Xenopus tropicalis: one gene and its partner. The main gene of each other region encodes a partner of the protein of the gene in region 2 in a complex. Links are inferred from orthologs where the notes say so. Each region holds a gene or a part of one and is shown on either strand. Other genes may lie near its edges.

Region 1 (6,985 bases), on a different chromosome or scaffold from region 2:
TACTGCTGCCAGAATTCTCCTCCTCTCATCCAGGAGAGTTCAGGCCCTTCTGCTGCTAAAGGCCTTATCATGGCTTCCTATTAAACAAAGAATTTCCTACAAACTTCTTCTTCTAACCTTCAAAGCCCTCCATTCCTCTGCTCCTCATTACATCTCTTCCCTTGTGTCTCTGTACGTTCCTGGCCAACTCCTTCGTTCCTCGCAGAGCAATCGTTTGGTTGCGCCCCCCACTGCTACTGCTGTTTCCCGCCTTAAACCTTTCTGCCTTGCTGCCCCTTACATTTGGAATGCCCTCCCTGATTTCCTCCGAAGAGAATCCTCCCTCAGTCTTTTTAAAACCAAACTAAAAGACTAGCTTTTGGAGCACTCGCCCAGCACCTGATCTGGGAAATAGCACTTATATTGTAGTGTCACCCACTGTGACCTACAGCACTTATATTTACCTATTTGTGTCTGTAAGTTACCCTCCCATATAGATTGTAAGCTCTACAGGGCAGGGACCTCCATCCTCTTGTGTCTTTGACTCTTAACCTATTGCAACTGTTACTTTATCTTGTATTTATTTGTATTTATTGTTATACTTTGTATTTATCTATTATCTTATTAACCCCCTGTTTGTATTAATGTATTCTACTGTACAGCGCTGCGTACATAAGTAGCGCTTTATAAATAAAAATATACATACATACATACATACATACAAGAAATGAAAGGAAGAATGTATTTTGCTGCTATTGATAACTGCATAGATGTAAGTTTGCACCGGAATATTTAATTCCAGAAGAGGTAGCAGTCCTGTTAATAAAACAGCTCCTGGCCTTTTAAGGGAGTAATGTAATCACAGGAACGAAGTTTTTTCCAAGTCTATCCAAGTCATGGCAAACTTTCAGCAACTAGCCTCTACTAGTCTTCTCTGTAGGAGCATATATCTGATTAGTTGTGAGTTACTAGACCTAAAGCAGACTTTGTGCCTGTTATTACTGCACCCATTTTCTGTAATATGCAATGTAGTAACTGGTTCATTTAGCTGACTTTTAGATCAGGACATGGCTATCATAATTTGGGGAAAATGTTTAAAATAATAAAACTTGATATGGAGCTGGGGGATACCCTCAATATACTAAGGGCAGGTTTATTAAATTGTAAGTTGAGCTTAATACATAAAAACTCACTCCCCGTTCTATTCATTCCTATTCATTGTCATGATAAATCTGCCTCTAAAAATCAGATTTATGGATTATTATATTTTTTAACAAAAGGTAATGATGCTTACCACCTGTTAAGAACTGACCAATCGATTTTCATTTATAAGCATCTTTTCTACACCTCCTCATATGAAGGATCGTGATAAAGAAGCATACCAAATTGAGGTTTTATGAATAGATAGTGCTATAGGTGTTTTATAGGTCAGTACATTTCAGCCTGCTGGGAATCCACTGGGTGTTTCTACCTCTTGGTTTCAGATCAAAAAGATTTTGACATGTGCAATGCTCTTTTTAAAGATATTATGTAATTTTCCCTCTTTTCAACAGCTTGGCAATGATTGTTCTACAATCCTGTCAGATTCACTGGTGAGTATGTACAATGATTTGTTTTCTGCCTTTCCTTCTTGATTTTTTTCTACTTGATTTAAATGGAATAAATTCAGTACTGAGCCTGCTTTCACTGTGTTCATTGCAGGGACCCAGCACATTAGAAGAGCTGTGTTTCATGATTATGGGCATTCTGCAGAAGTCTCAGGTAAAGCAAGGTTTCATTCGTAAGTGACTTATTCTTGGCATTTGTCTTCTGTTCTCCATTAACATCTGTACTTCATCCTGTACTAGGCCCCGAAGAGTAGACCATAAAAGGGAGGGGATTATTAAATGTAGGTGGGATTGGGATATGTTGGATCAGTGCTACAGGTGTACAATAGATATACATTTTATACATTATATACATCTTGTCATAAGACAACAAGATTTTGGTTGGTTGGAGCAATTCAAGAAGCATTTTGGACAGTTGGCTGCATAGGTTTAAATCGATTCTGGTGCTTTACCTTTAAACCATTTCAAACCATGACACATACTACGAGACGTGCTGAACAGAGCATACAGCACCTTCTACCTTTGTCATGGGCATAAATCTGACTTGATAAGGAGATTAATGGTTTCTATAGCTGCCCGATAAACAATTATCCCCAGAGATATGCACTGACATAATAAGGTATCTAAAAGTAGTTAGAGGACCAGCACTCCCTGTGAATATGATTATATTTTCTTTATTAACACATTGCACAGAGGAAGTCAAATGTTTCAGTACTCATTAGGACCTTTATTCTTGATAAAGGTCCTAATGAGGACCTAACAAAGGATGCACTGCCAGAGATGCCCTTTTGGCAGGTGAAATAAATGAATAGTAAAAATAGTAATGTTTAGTACATGAATGAATAGTTCATGAATTGTAGCATGAAACTCTATTCATTGACTGATCTATAACAGAACCCTCGGTGCTGGCACGATACAAACTTATAGTATATACTACATGCTGGTTTGTTGGTATGGGCTACTATAACTTGAGCATACTTTACACCTATTATTTTATTCCTCACCCCCCAAAGAAAAATTGGCACCTCAAGTGATGGAGCTTTGGACATTAACTTGGTAAAAAAAATGTCCCTACCATATAACTCTGACATGCAGCTGCTGTGTCGTAAATACTGATGCACAAGTTCTATGAGGGTTAATAAAATATTTTTTGACTGTATTCTTTGCAGGGTTCAGATGAAAAAGAGGAGAGCAAAAGGGTAAGTAGTGTACTGTACAGAACACATACATTGTCAAGATAGCCCTTATCCATGGACTGGTTCAGTAGTAAAATAGAATTTTAATTTTTTTCCCTGCGCAGTTCTTATTTCATTATTCTAAGAGTCATGAATCAGGCAACTCAGACATCACGGTAAGTTGCACAACCTCTGAGGGAACCACACTGAAATAGTCACACTAGCACTCTACTGGGGTTAGTCCTGTCCGCTCTACTAAGTATTAGTGTATATATGTCTTCACATTTTGGCCAAAAGGAATATACTAAAGCAAAATGCTTTTCAACATAAGGCTATATTGTGGTGACTTATACTAGTTTTAACTTTACAAACAAATACATTGAAAAGCCTTTTTGGGATAAGATATTCGAATAGTATGGTATAATATACAAGGAAACATAATCAGAAGTTACACTTGTATTAAAAAGGACTGAAGAAGTTTCCCAGTAGACCATTAGTAACAATTTTTAGTTTCACCCACTGGAAAATGCAGGAATCATCACGAAATAAACTTGGTTCAACTATTTAATGTGCTCTAAAATGAGCACATAAACTAGATTGGATGGCAGGGTGCAAAAAAAAATTGTGCCTGCTTTTTGCACTTTTGCACCCATACTTCCATTTCATAAATAACCCCTTACAGAATTACAGAATTCTTACAGAATTGACATGGATTTGTTTAAAATTGACATCTATAAACTCCACATCTTATAACTGATAACATGGAATACAGTGTAGTGCCCAACTTTATTATGTTTTCTCCCACAAACCACTGTTCCTCCCAAGAATTCCAGCTTACAACTAGACACAAGCTATGCATCAAAACCCATGCAAAATGTGCATCCTACTGTAAATTGTATGCATCAAGTATGGGTGTCAATGTTGGTGACACGCAGGCATGCCATGGTCATACCCATATACACCTTTTATTTTTCAGTATTCTGCTGCACCAAAGTAACTTGTAGGAGTAAAGCGTTATTTGAACCCTGAACTGAATGGATGCTCTTTGGATCCTATTATGTTACACCTTGACACCACGTGCTAATTATCATGGGCCAAATTATTTTAGTTATTGTCCCAAGACAGCTTGATTTTGTCCAGACAAGTTTATCAGTCACACACAATAAATCTTCTCTACCATGGGCGACTAAAGGCTTTTAAAAAAGGCTTTCACACTAGAAATAATGCAAAGCTCCTGTGGGAAACCATATCCGTCACTTCAATTTTGGTAGTAGCCCAAGGTTACATTGCGACTTTGCAAAGCTGAAGGGACGTGTTTTCCCACCAGCGATTTACATTATTACTGGGGGAAAAACAGTTCAAGAAGATTAATCGCCCATGGTAGAGGGGATTTAACTTGGGCAACAAATCTCCATGTGTATCATCACCCTAAGTGGCAGATTTATCAAAATGTTAGAGTAGCGTTTACCACAGAACATTCACACTCACCCACTATCTATTGATCCCCATGGGATTTTTAGAAGTGTATTTATCAAATGGTGAACTCTAACTTTTACCCATTAATAAATACACTTCTAAAAATCCCATGGGATTTTCGGAGCATATTTTGGTGCAGAAACAAGCAATTATCCATTTTGGCAACAAAATCTGCTCCATGTTCCTGCACCAGGGCCAACACAGTGAGAAGGCTGAGTAGAGTAAGGGCTGTGGATAAATGCCGGCCGTGAATCAATCCCCTGTGGCAGTAGCCTAAAGTGAGACTGGTGTTATAATTAGGGTAATGGCATAATGATTACTTGTTTAGTCATGTCTTTATAGCTTGGTGACATCAAGAAAACCACCCCAAATTGCTTCTGAAGTTCATATTGAAACCCTGGGAGGGGGCTTATGGGTCCGCCTGTTTGGCTAATTTAAACAAAGCCTTTAATAATTTTGTTCTAACTATGTGATAACCCAGAAACCTTTCAGATAACAAACTTTGGTGTTGCATGTTTGTGTCCCTTATTCTAGTCTCCAGAAACACACTGCAGTATGTTGCTTATGCAGATACTGTTGAGAGGGCAACAGGAACATGCGTTGCAATCAGATTAGTTATACACAGTGGGCACTTGGATTTCTGTATTTTATACTGATACTTTGGATTCATAAACAAATATTGCTGTTAAAAAAAATTATAGTATGAAAATATAGATGAAAAATCCATTTTACATATATTCTGGTAACTGACCCAGATTCAGTATTTCTCCAGGTTGTCTGGTTTATTAATAAAGGGGTGGTTCACCTTTCAGTTAACCAGTTCTTAGCAAATTCTCAATTGGTCTCAATTTTTTATCATTTTTAAATTAAAAAGGTTTGTGGCTACATTTCATTGTTGCTGTTAATTTTTATTTCTTAACTTTCTATTCAGACCATATTCATATTCCAGTTTCTCATTCAAACCACTGCCTAGTTGCTAGCAACCATATAGCTGCTAAAATTTACCCTGGAGGGTTGCTGCATATAAAGCTAAATAATTAAAAAAACACAATAATTAAAAATGGAGACCACTTACAAATTGTTTTAGAACTACATACTAAAAGTAATTTGAAGGTGAACAACCAGCTTAACCAATTTTTTAAACATTTTTTTGATCACTGGGGAGAAGCAACCCATCATGATCTCCTGTTCCACGATCATTGCTCTTTAGGTTACCTATTGTTTTAATCAGAGGTGGGCCAAGCCGGCCGGGCGCCCTAGGCAACCCGGTAGGCCACCTCGCCCAACCACCCTCCCCATGCTTTGGCACGCATACGCAGTCCAGGGGGGCGGCTTGCAATGCGATGGGTCATTGCCCCCACCGCTAATTACAAGCGGCGGGGCCAATGGCAAAGAAGGAGGACTAGCGGTAGGCAGGAGAGGCTCCTGCCTGGCGCTCCATAATCATTGTGCCCTAGGCAGCTGCCTCTTCTGCCTACCCCTAGTTCCGGCCCTGGTTTTAATACAGCAAATTTGAAAGCAGCTTTCTAACTTACATAAAACTTATGTTTAATCTAAGTCGCCTCTTCATTTCCAAAAGCCTGTGTGAAGTTCTCAGCTTCTAATTTTTGTGGAGGCATCTATGTTATTGCTTGGTGGTCATTATGTGTGTATGTAGCAGGCAACTGTCTTTATATATGTCTTTATAGCTGGCCATATCAGCAAGCTGTAAATATAGGATCAGGGTATGTGCGAGTGCTTGCATGTCAGCTTGTGTGTCACCTAAAGGCTTAATTACTTCAGCAAAGGAGATTATGAGTATTGTCCACGTACAGAATGGTCTCCCCTATGTATAGTAATTAATAAAGCAGATATCAGTATTACTATAGAATAAAAATAATTAGCCCTAAGTGATAATGCTGCAAATAATTATGGAAAAATCAATGGTGTCTACTTTGTAACCACAGTAGGGGAGAGAGCACTGAATAAATACATTCTCCCCTCATCTTTATTATGCTGGGATAAAGAAATGCACATAAAAGTGTATAATAAACCTTGGCAAATACTGATTTTTCTTTCAACTCCCCATTAATTATATATAGCTGTTATATACTAACTCTGCTACCCCAAAAAACTTTTTAATTGAAGATTTTTGTACATCTCTTTATTCAAGGTTTTCCAATTTGTTCTAAACAAAATTGGCACCATCAAATCAGAGAAAATATATTTTACAGATCTTACAAATTTGATGCAGCAAAGAATGTATAGCATAACCAAAGTATTAAACAAACATACACAGAAAAAGTTCAGCTTTGAAAATTGTAGCAATAATGGTTGGGCTCTGGTTGGGCTAATGTAGGGTAAAATCTTGAAGGGGGTTAGGGCTCTGGCACACGGGGAGATTAGTCGCCCACGACAAAACTCCCTGTTCGCGGGCGACTAATCTCCCCGTGTGCCAGAGCCCTTAGAGGTGTTCAAAACGTCACCCATGGCTCCCAAGTTTCTTTATGTTGTTTAACAAACAAACCGCCCCTATAAAGACATTGTACCTGTTTAATCACATGTAAGGCTGTTTTTGTTTGGCATATCCCGTCTATGTAACAGTACAAACGACTGTGTGCTCCTCAGAGCCAGGAGTTCATTGTTGATCATGTGTCTGTCTTCATGTCCTCTCAGTCGTCTGTCCTGCATCCTTTGCTGCAACTTGTTCCTCAGCTTCATGACAGAAGGATGAAGAGGTTCAAAGCTGAAGTACGTAACTATGATTTA
Region 2 (7,541 bases):
TGATCAATGATTGGATCATACAGAGGAGCCTGCAGGCTCATTGGATAAGGATTGCAGGAACACACCACTGCGGTTTTCATTGGGTGGGAACATCAAGCCTATACAACTGATATTTGCCCTATTTTCAGCCAGATATCGGCCATGCAGGCACGTCTGTGGGCCCCATACATGAGTAAATAGGCCGTTGACTCAATCTGGAAAGACCTAGCTTGTTTTGCCCGTAAATGGCCACCTTTAGAAAGATCAGAGGAACTAATATTATTAGACTGATTTAATCAACTTATCAGAGTAACCAATACTCCACTCAAATGATAAAAATAAATACTAACACAGAGATTACAAGGGTTCATTAAGGTCCCCATACACGTGAAGATTCGCTCGCTTGGCGAGATCGCCAAGCGAGCGGATCTTCACCCGATATCCCCACCTGCGGGTGGGCGATATCAGGGAATGTGTAGGCTAATTCGATCGTTTGGCCCTGGGGCCAAACGATCGAATTATATTGGCGGAAATGGGGCAGTCGGTTCGGGGACCGCATCAACGAGCCAATGCGGTCCCCGATCTGACTGAATCTTTAAAATTGTCCGATCGATATCTGCCCAATTTCAGGCCAGATATCGGTCGGGCAGGCCCATCAGTAGTGCCCATACACGGGCCGGTAAGCTGCTGAATCGGTCTAAGGGACTGATATTGGCAGCTACAATCGTCCCGTGTATGGGGACCTTTAGACGTCAAAAGGAACTCCGGCACATGGGTTTAATGTTTAAACAAGGATATCTACTGTGTTTATTTGTTAATTTGTTTGGCTTGGCGCAAATAAACACAGGGGATATCCCTATTTAAGCATTCAACCCTGGTGCTGGAGTTCCCTTAAATTTCTATGTATGGTGGAGGTGCTGTCCTTCTTAAACTCTGAAGTACCAGGGTTACCCTAGGTGTGCATTTGTTTCTTAAGGTCCCCATACACGGGCCGATTGTAGCTGGCGATATTGGTCCCTTTGACAGATTCGGCAGCTTATCGGCCCGTGTAGGGGCAGGAACGAGGGGCCTGCCCAACCAGGGCCGGATTTGTAATCCTTCCGCCCCAAGGCCGCCCCCCTCCGTCGCCCTCCGCACATGCGCACGATCGGCACACCCCCACCATGCGCATGCGCGAACGTGCGATCGGCACCGCCCCCATGCGCATACGCGAACGTGCGATTGGCACCGCCCCCTCCCCAACGTGCATGCAGGGTGTAAACATTCGCATATGGAGCAGTGGGGGAGAGGTCCCCACTGCTCCATATGGATGAAAAAGCTTAAGATTGTGGTGCGGCGGGGTGGCATGCCGCCCTAGGCCTGGGCCTTTGTGGCCTCTCCACAAATCCAGGCCTGTGCCCAACCGATATCTGGCCTGAAATTGGCCAGATATTGACCGGGCAGGTTAAAATATTTAGTCTGATCGGGGACCGCATTGACTCGTTGATGCGGTGCCCGAACCGACTGCCCCATTGCCACCATTATAATTCCCCCTGGGGCCAAATGATCGAATTAGCTAACATTTTCCCCGATATTGGGGATATCGGGAGAAGATCCGCTCGCTTTGCGACATCGCCAAGCGAGCGGATCTTGACGTATATGGGCACCTTAAGAATTAAGAGACCAATTAGACTAAATTGTTCAGATTTCATTGTACTCATAAGAGAAACCAATTTGACTAAAGGTCGCCATAAACAGACCAACGCCCTCTGGTATCCAATTTGCTGTCGGTTGAACAGATTGAAAATGTATGGGTGGCCTTACAAATTCATGACCCCCTTCCTATTATTTCCCTTATTCGGAAATGCACTTGATGACACTGTGCATAGGAAGATGAAATTATCAAACGTGCGATCTTTTAGCCAAAATGGCCTTCAGACTTGGCATATATGTCCAGATGCTTGGCCAGTATTACAAACCATTTTTTGTTCGCTAAAATTTCACTGCAATTAGACATCATTGGTCTGTCGGCCCTGTACAGTAGGGAAAAGTTTAGTTTAAGAATCTATGTTACTGGAATACAGCTCCCAACATGATTAATCCTATCAGAGTTATAATATTATAGGATCCCTTATCCGGAAACCCTTTTATTATTACAGAGAAAAAGGAAATCATTTATAAAAATTAGAAATATTTGCTTATAATAGAGTCTATGGGAGATGGCCTTTCCGTATTTCTGGATAACAGGTTTCCGGATAAGGGATCCCATACCTGCATTGTGTATTGTTTTTGTACGGAAGCCTTAAGCCGCAGTAGCTTATGGCATCACTTACAGAAAGTATTAAAAAAAAAACCCAATGCAGAAATTAAATCTATAAATTAAGGTGAAAAACTATGAAAACATCAGTCACTTTATTTTATTTAGTTATAATTCAGGCAAAAGAACCCCAGACAGAATCCCCAGCTGATATCCCCCAGTTACATCCTTTTCATTGTTAGAATAATGATTTTGCCGGAGCATCCAATGAGCACCCGTTAGGGGAGGAGATGTCATTCTGGAAACGGAGATCTATACAAGGCAACTAGTGCTTAATCTTCAGCAGCAACGAAATCTGAGATTCCAACATCGGCAGCAGCAGCAGCAGCCTTTCTCATACGCTCACACAGGCATTTCTGGGAAAGTACTGGGGATATATTGTTTCATTACAATCATTCTTTTGTTTTATTGACTTTATTCTTTAGTTCCCCTTTATTATCTGCCTCACCATTCATTCTCTGCAAGATTTCAACCAAGGAACTTCTTCACTTGCTTCTATAGACCATTCATTCTCTGCAAGATTTCAACCAAGGAACTTCTTCACTTGCTTCTATCCACCATTCATTCTCTGCAAGATTTCAACCAAGGAACTTCTTCACTTGCTTCTATAGACCATTCATTCTCTGCAAGATTTCAACCAAGGAACTTCTTCACTTGCTTCTATAGACCATTCATTCTCTGCAAGATTTCAACCAAGGAACTTCTTTACTTGCTTCTATAGACCATTCATTCTCTGCAAGATTTCAACCAAGGGACTTCTTCACTTGCTTCTATAGACCATTCATTCTCTGCAAGATTTCAACCAAGGAACTTCTTTACTTGCTTCTATAGACCATTCATTCTCTGCAAGATTTCAACCAAGGAACTTCTTCACTTGCTTCTATAGACCATTCATTCTCTGCAAGATTTCAACCAAGGGACTTCTTCACTTGCTTCTATAGACCATTCATTCTCTGCAAGATTTCAACCAAGGGACTTCTTCACTTGCTTCTATCCACCATTCATTCTCTGCAAGACTTCAACCAAGGAACTTCTTCACTTGCTTCTATCCACCATTAATTCTCTGCAAGATTTCAACCAAGGGACTTCTTCACTTGCTTCTATCCACCATTAATTCTCTGCAAGATTTCAACCAAGGAACTTCTTCACTTGCTTCTATCCACCATTCATTCTCTGCAAGATTTCAACCAAGGAACTTCTTCACTTGCTTCTATCCACCATTGATTCTCTGCAAGACTTCAACCAAGGAACTTCTTCACTTGCTTCTATCCACCATTCATTCTCTGCAGGATTTCAACCAAGGAACTTCTTCACTTGCTTCTATCCACCATTCATTCTCTGCAAGATTTAAATCAAGGAACTTATTCCCTTGCTTCTTTTCTTCTACCTTTTGTATTGTCCCCTTAAGAAACTTGGCTGTCATTCTTGTATTCTTTTTATTGCTTCTCTGTCTTCTGTATTTGTACCTCAACTTTTCAGTTGTAATCATCTCACATTCAGATTTTTAGGAGGATGGATGACCAGCAGAACATCACTTTCATGTGGCCAAGTCATCTTCCTCCGGACAACTCCATGATGAGATACCTCAACAGCACAGAGGAGTACTTGGCTTACTTGTGTGGTCCAAAGCGCAGTCGCCTATCTCTACCAATGACTCTAGTCTATGCAACTATATTTCTTATTGGAGTCATCGGAAACACACTCGTATGCTTGGTCATCCTAAAGCATCACAATATGAGGACCCCTACCAACTATTACCTGTTCAGCCTGGCAGTGTCTGACCTCCTGGTTCTGCTCCTTGGGATGCCTCTTGAAGTGTATGAAATGTGGAGCAACTACCCTTTCCTCTTTGGCGCCTGGGGTTGCTATTTTAAAACAGTCCTTTTTGAAACAGTCTGCTTTGCCTCCATCCTAAGTGTCACCACTGTTAGTGTCGAGCGGTATGTGGCCATCATCCACCCATTCCAAGCCAAGCTGAAAAGCACTCGAAGCAGGGCTCTCAAAATCCTGGTCACTCTCTGGATCTTCTCTATTCTTTTCTCCATCCCAAACACAAGCACACACGGTATCCTATTGCAGTACTTTCCCAATGGGAGCCTTATCCCGGATTCAGCCACGTGCACCGTGGTTCAACCTCTGTGGATTTATAACTGCATTATCCAAGTGACCTCGCTGCTGTTCTATATTCTTCCAATGGGGGTTATAAGTGTCCTCTATTGTCTGATGGGAATAAAAGTAAGTTCCCCTACCTTGTTTTGTGTGTGTTGAGGGAATATCAGACTAGTAGAAGTCTAAAACAACTGCATTTTTCTGAATTTTTCTTGAAAACATTTCATCCAAGTGGCTTCTTCTGAACTGAAGAAGCCACTCGGATGAGTGGTGAAACGTTGTCAAGAAAAACTCAGAAAAGTCCAGTTGTTTTAGACTTACTTTAGACTTACTTGTTTTAGACTTTTAGGCTTTATACTGTATATCATGACCTGGATGAATGAGAAGCTTCATAGAAATATCAGAACTGCTCTTTCTGCTTTAAGTTCAGAGATATGACCATTGCTGTGTTAACATAAGTGAAAATGTATATTTCATTAAAACTGCTCTCTGACATGCAGACAATGTTGAACTAAATGCTACCTCCAGGGAGAATCTATGCTTTATTTAATTGCATGGTAAATATCTGTACAGAAATGGCACGGCATTGCAGAAAGGAAGCATTGCATAATGTTACATGAAGGCAAGACACTAAATACAAAGGGTTAAATAGTTACATTATTTGGAAAAGAAACCTTTTCAGGCAGGATAATATAAGCAGGAGATCCCCAAGAGCTTGCAGTTTATGTATGAAAGTTATTTGGTTTTTAATAAAAAAAGACACCATATGTTATTTAAATTCTTTTTTCTGTATTTTTCCTATTGGGTTTATTTCATGGTTAAATGATTCCCTTTTCTCTGTAATAATAAAACAGTACCTGTACTTGATCCCAACTAAGATATAATTACCCCTTATTGGGGCAGAACAGCCCTATTGGGTTTATTTAATGGTTAAATGATTCCCTTTTCTCTGTAATAATAAAACAGTACCTGTACTTGATCCCAACTAAGATATAATTACCCCTTATTGGGGGTAGAACAGCCCTATTGGGTTTATTTAATGGTTAAATGATTCCCTTTTCTCTGTAATAATAAAACAGTACCTGTACTTGATCCCAACTAAGATATAATTACCCCTTATTGGGGGCAGAACAGCCCTATTGGGTTTATTTCATGATTAAATGATTCCCTTTTCTCTGTAATAATAAAACAGTACCTGTACTTGATCCCAACTAAGATATAATTACCCCTTATTGGGGCAGAACAGCCCTATTGGGTTTATTTCATGATTAAATGATTCCCTTTTCTCTGTAATAATAAAACAGTACCTGTACTTGATCCCAACTAAGATATAATTACCCCTTATTGGGGCAGAACAGCCCTATTGGGTTTATTTCATGATTAAATGATTCCCTTTTCTCTGTAATAATAAAACAGTACCTGTACTTGATCCCAACTAAGATATAATTACCCTTTATTGGGGGCAGAACAGCCCTATTGGGTTTATTTAATGGTTAAATGATTCCCTTTTCTCTGTAATAATAAAACAGTACCTGTACTTGATCCCAACTAAGATATAATTACCCCTTATTGGGGGCAGAACAGCCCTATTGGGTTTATTTAATGGTTAAATGATTCCCTTTTCTCTGTAATAATAAAACAGTACCTGTACTTGATCCCAACTAAGATATAATTACCCCTTATTGGGGGCAGAACAGCCCTATTGGGTTTATTTCATGGTTAAATGATTCCCTTTTCTCTATAATAATAAAACAGTACCTGTACTTGATCCCAACTAAGATATAATTACCCCTTATTGGGGCAGAACAGCCCTATTGGGCAAAACAATTTTATTGGGTTTAAATGATGTTTAAAAGATTTTTTAGTAGACTTAAGGCATGGAGATCCAAATTATGAAAAGATCTCTTATTCGGAATACCTGGGTCCCGGGCATTCTGGATAACAGCTCCTATACCTGTATAATATCCAAGGTTCTATTTCAGCCAGGGCACTACCTGCAAGGAGCTTGTATGTTCTCCCTGTACTTTTCTGGATTTCCTCCCACTCTCCAGAAATATACATGCAGGTTATTAGGCTCCTGATAATGATTAACTGGGGCAATGAATGATTTATAATCTCTGTTAACTTCCATGGAATATGCCAATGCTATATAAATGAAGGATAGTAATCATCTTTAATATTCTGCAAATATCTACATAGTAACATAGTAAGTTAGGTTGAAAAAAGACGTACGTCCATCACGTTCAACCTTAATGCCTATATACAACCTGCCTAACTACTAGTTGATCCAGAGGAAGGCGAAATGTTAAATATAAAATAAGAGATGGGGGACCACAATATAAAGAAGTTAATCAGGAATGTCCAATCTGCAGCCCTCTAGCACTCCATTTCCAGCACTCCCATCCGACTTTGGCTCTCAGTGGAACAATGGAATTCTATACTGTAGGTCAGTGATCCCTAACCAGTGGTTTGTAGGCAACATGTTGCTCACCGACCCCTTTGATGTTGCTCCCAGTGGCCTCAAAGTAGGTGCCATTTTTAAATTTATGGCTTGGAGTCAAGTTTTGGAAGCGTTCAGACCCAGTTTAACTCCAAGTAGAGGCTCCTGCAGGCTCGCAGTCCCCATGGAGCTACCAAATAGCCAATCACAGTCCATATTTGACACCCCCAAGGACTTTTTTTCATGCTTGTTTGGCTCCCCAACTCTCATTACATCTGAGTGTGGCTCACAACTAAACAGGTTGGGGATCCCTGCTATAGGTAGTCATTCAAGAACAGTAACTGGTAGACCAAACAGTGTAACAGAGATATGTCTTTTGGAATATAACTCCTCTGTCATTCTGTTATTTGGTAAATGGCTGATACATTTATTTTGTTAGTGTAAAACAGTCAAACCCATGGCTAGTATAGGTTTAGATCATGGGGTACATGCGACTCAATCCTTCAAGATGGACCTTCGCTATGTGGAAGTGACCAAGGAAGCCAGGGGGTGTAGTGGAACTACAACTCACTTTGGCTGTGTGCAGTGCAATTTAGCAAAAATGGACACCAGAAGGTTCTTGCAGTTGAACAATAGAACTGGTTTATTTTCAGAGACAATCAATGTGCAGGGTTATTGCAATATACTCACATACAGATGGTATATGATAGTAGTACT

What was found. The genes of interacting proteins can lie anywhere in the genome.
Region 1: the proteins of nmur2 (region 2) and nmu are in contact, whole or in part, in a cryo-EM structure (PDB 7XK8), measured with the Homo sapiens proteins. The link is inferred for Xenopus tropicalis from reciprocal best matches to the Homo sapiens genes NMUR2 and NMU. Residues at the interface, in NP_064552.3 of Homo sapiens: Ser42, His43, Gly98, Glu102, Glu105, Met106, Trp107, Arg108, Asn109, Tyr110, Pro111, Thr123, Phe126, Glu127, Asn181, His185, Pro199, Ser201, Thr203, Cys204, Val206, Tyr213, Phe284, Arg288, Phe291, Glu295, Trp297, Ser298, Glu299, Ala302; in NP_006672.1 of Homo sapiens: Glu146, Phe152, Ala153, Ser154, Gln155, Gly158, Tyr159, Phe160, Leu161, Phe162, Arg163, Pro164, Arg165, Asn166.

What each region holds. Positions count from the first base shown.
Region 1 is NC_030677.2:40,450,345-40,457,329, reverse strand, and holds part of nmu (neuromedin-U), read left to right. Parts: intron 1-1,532; coding exon 1,533-1,571; intron 1,572-1,680; coding exon 1,681-1,740; intron 1,741-2,755; coding exon 2,756-2,785; intron 2,786-2,886; coding exon 2,887-2,937; intron 2,938-6,892; coding exon 6,893-6,967; intron 6,968-6,985.
Region 2 is NC_030679.2:12,966,924-12,974,464, forward strand, and holds the start of nmur2 (neuromedin-U receptor 2), read left to right. Parts: upstream 1-3,098; 5' UTR 3,099-3,787; coding exon 3,788-4,510; intron 4,511-7,541. UniProt on the Homo sapiens protein: Receptor for the neuromedin-U and neuromedin-S neuropeptides.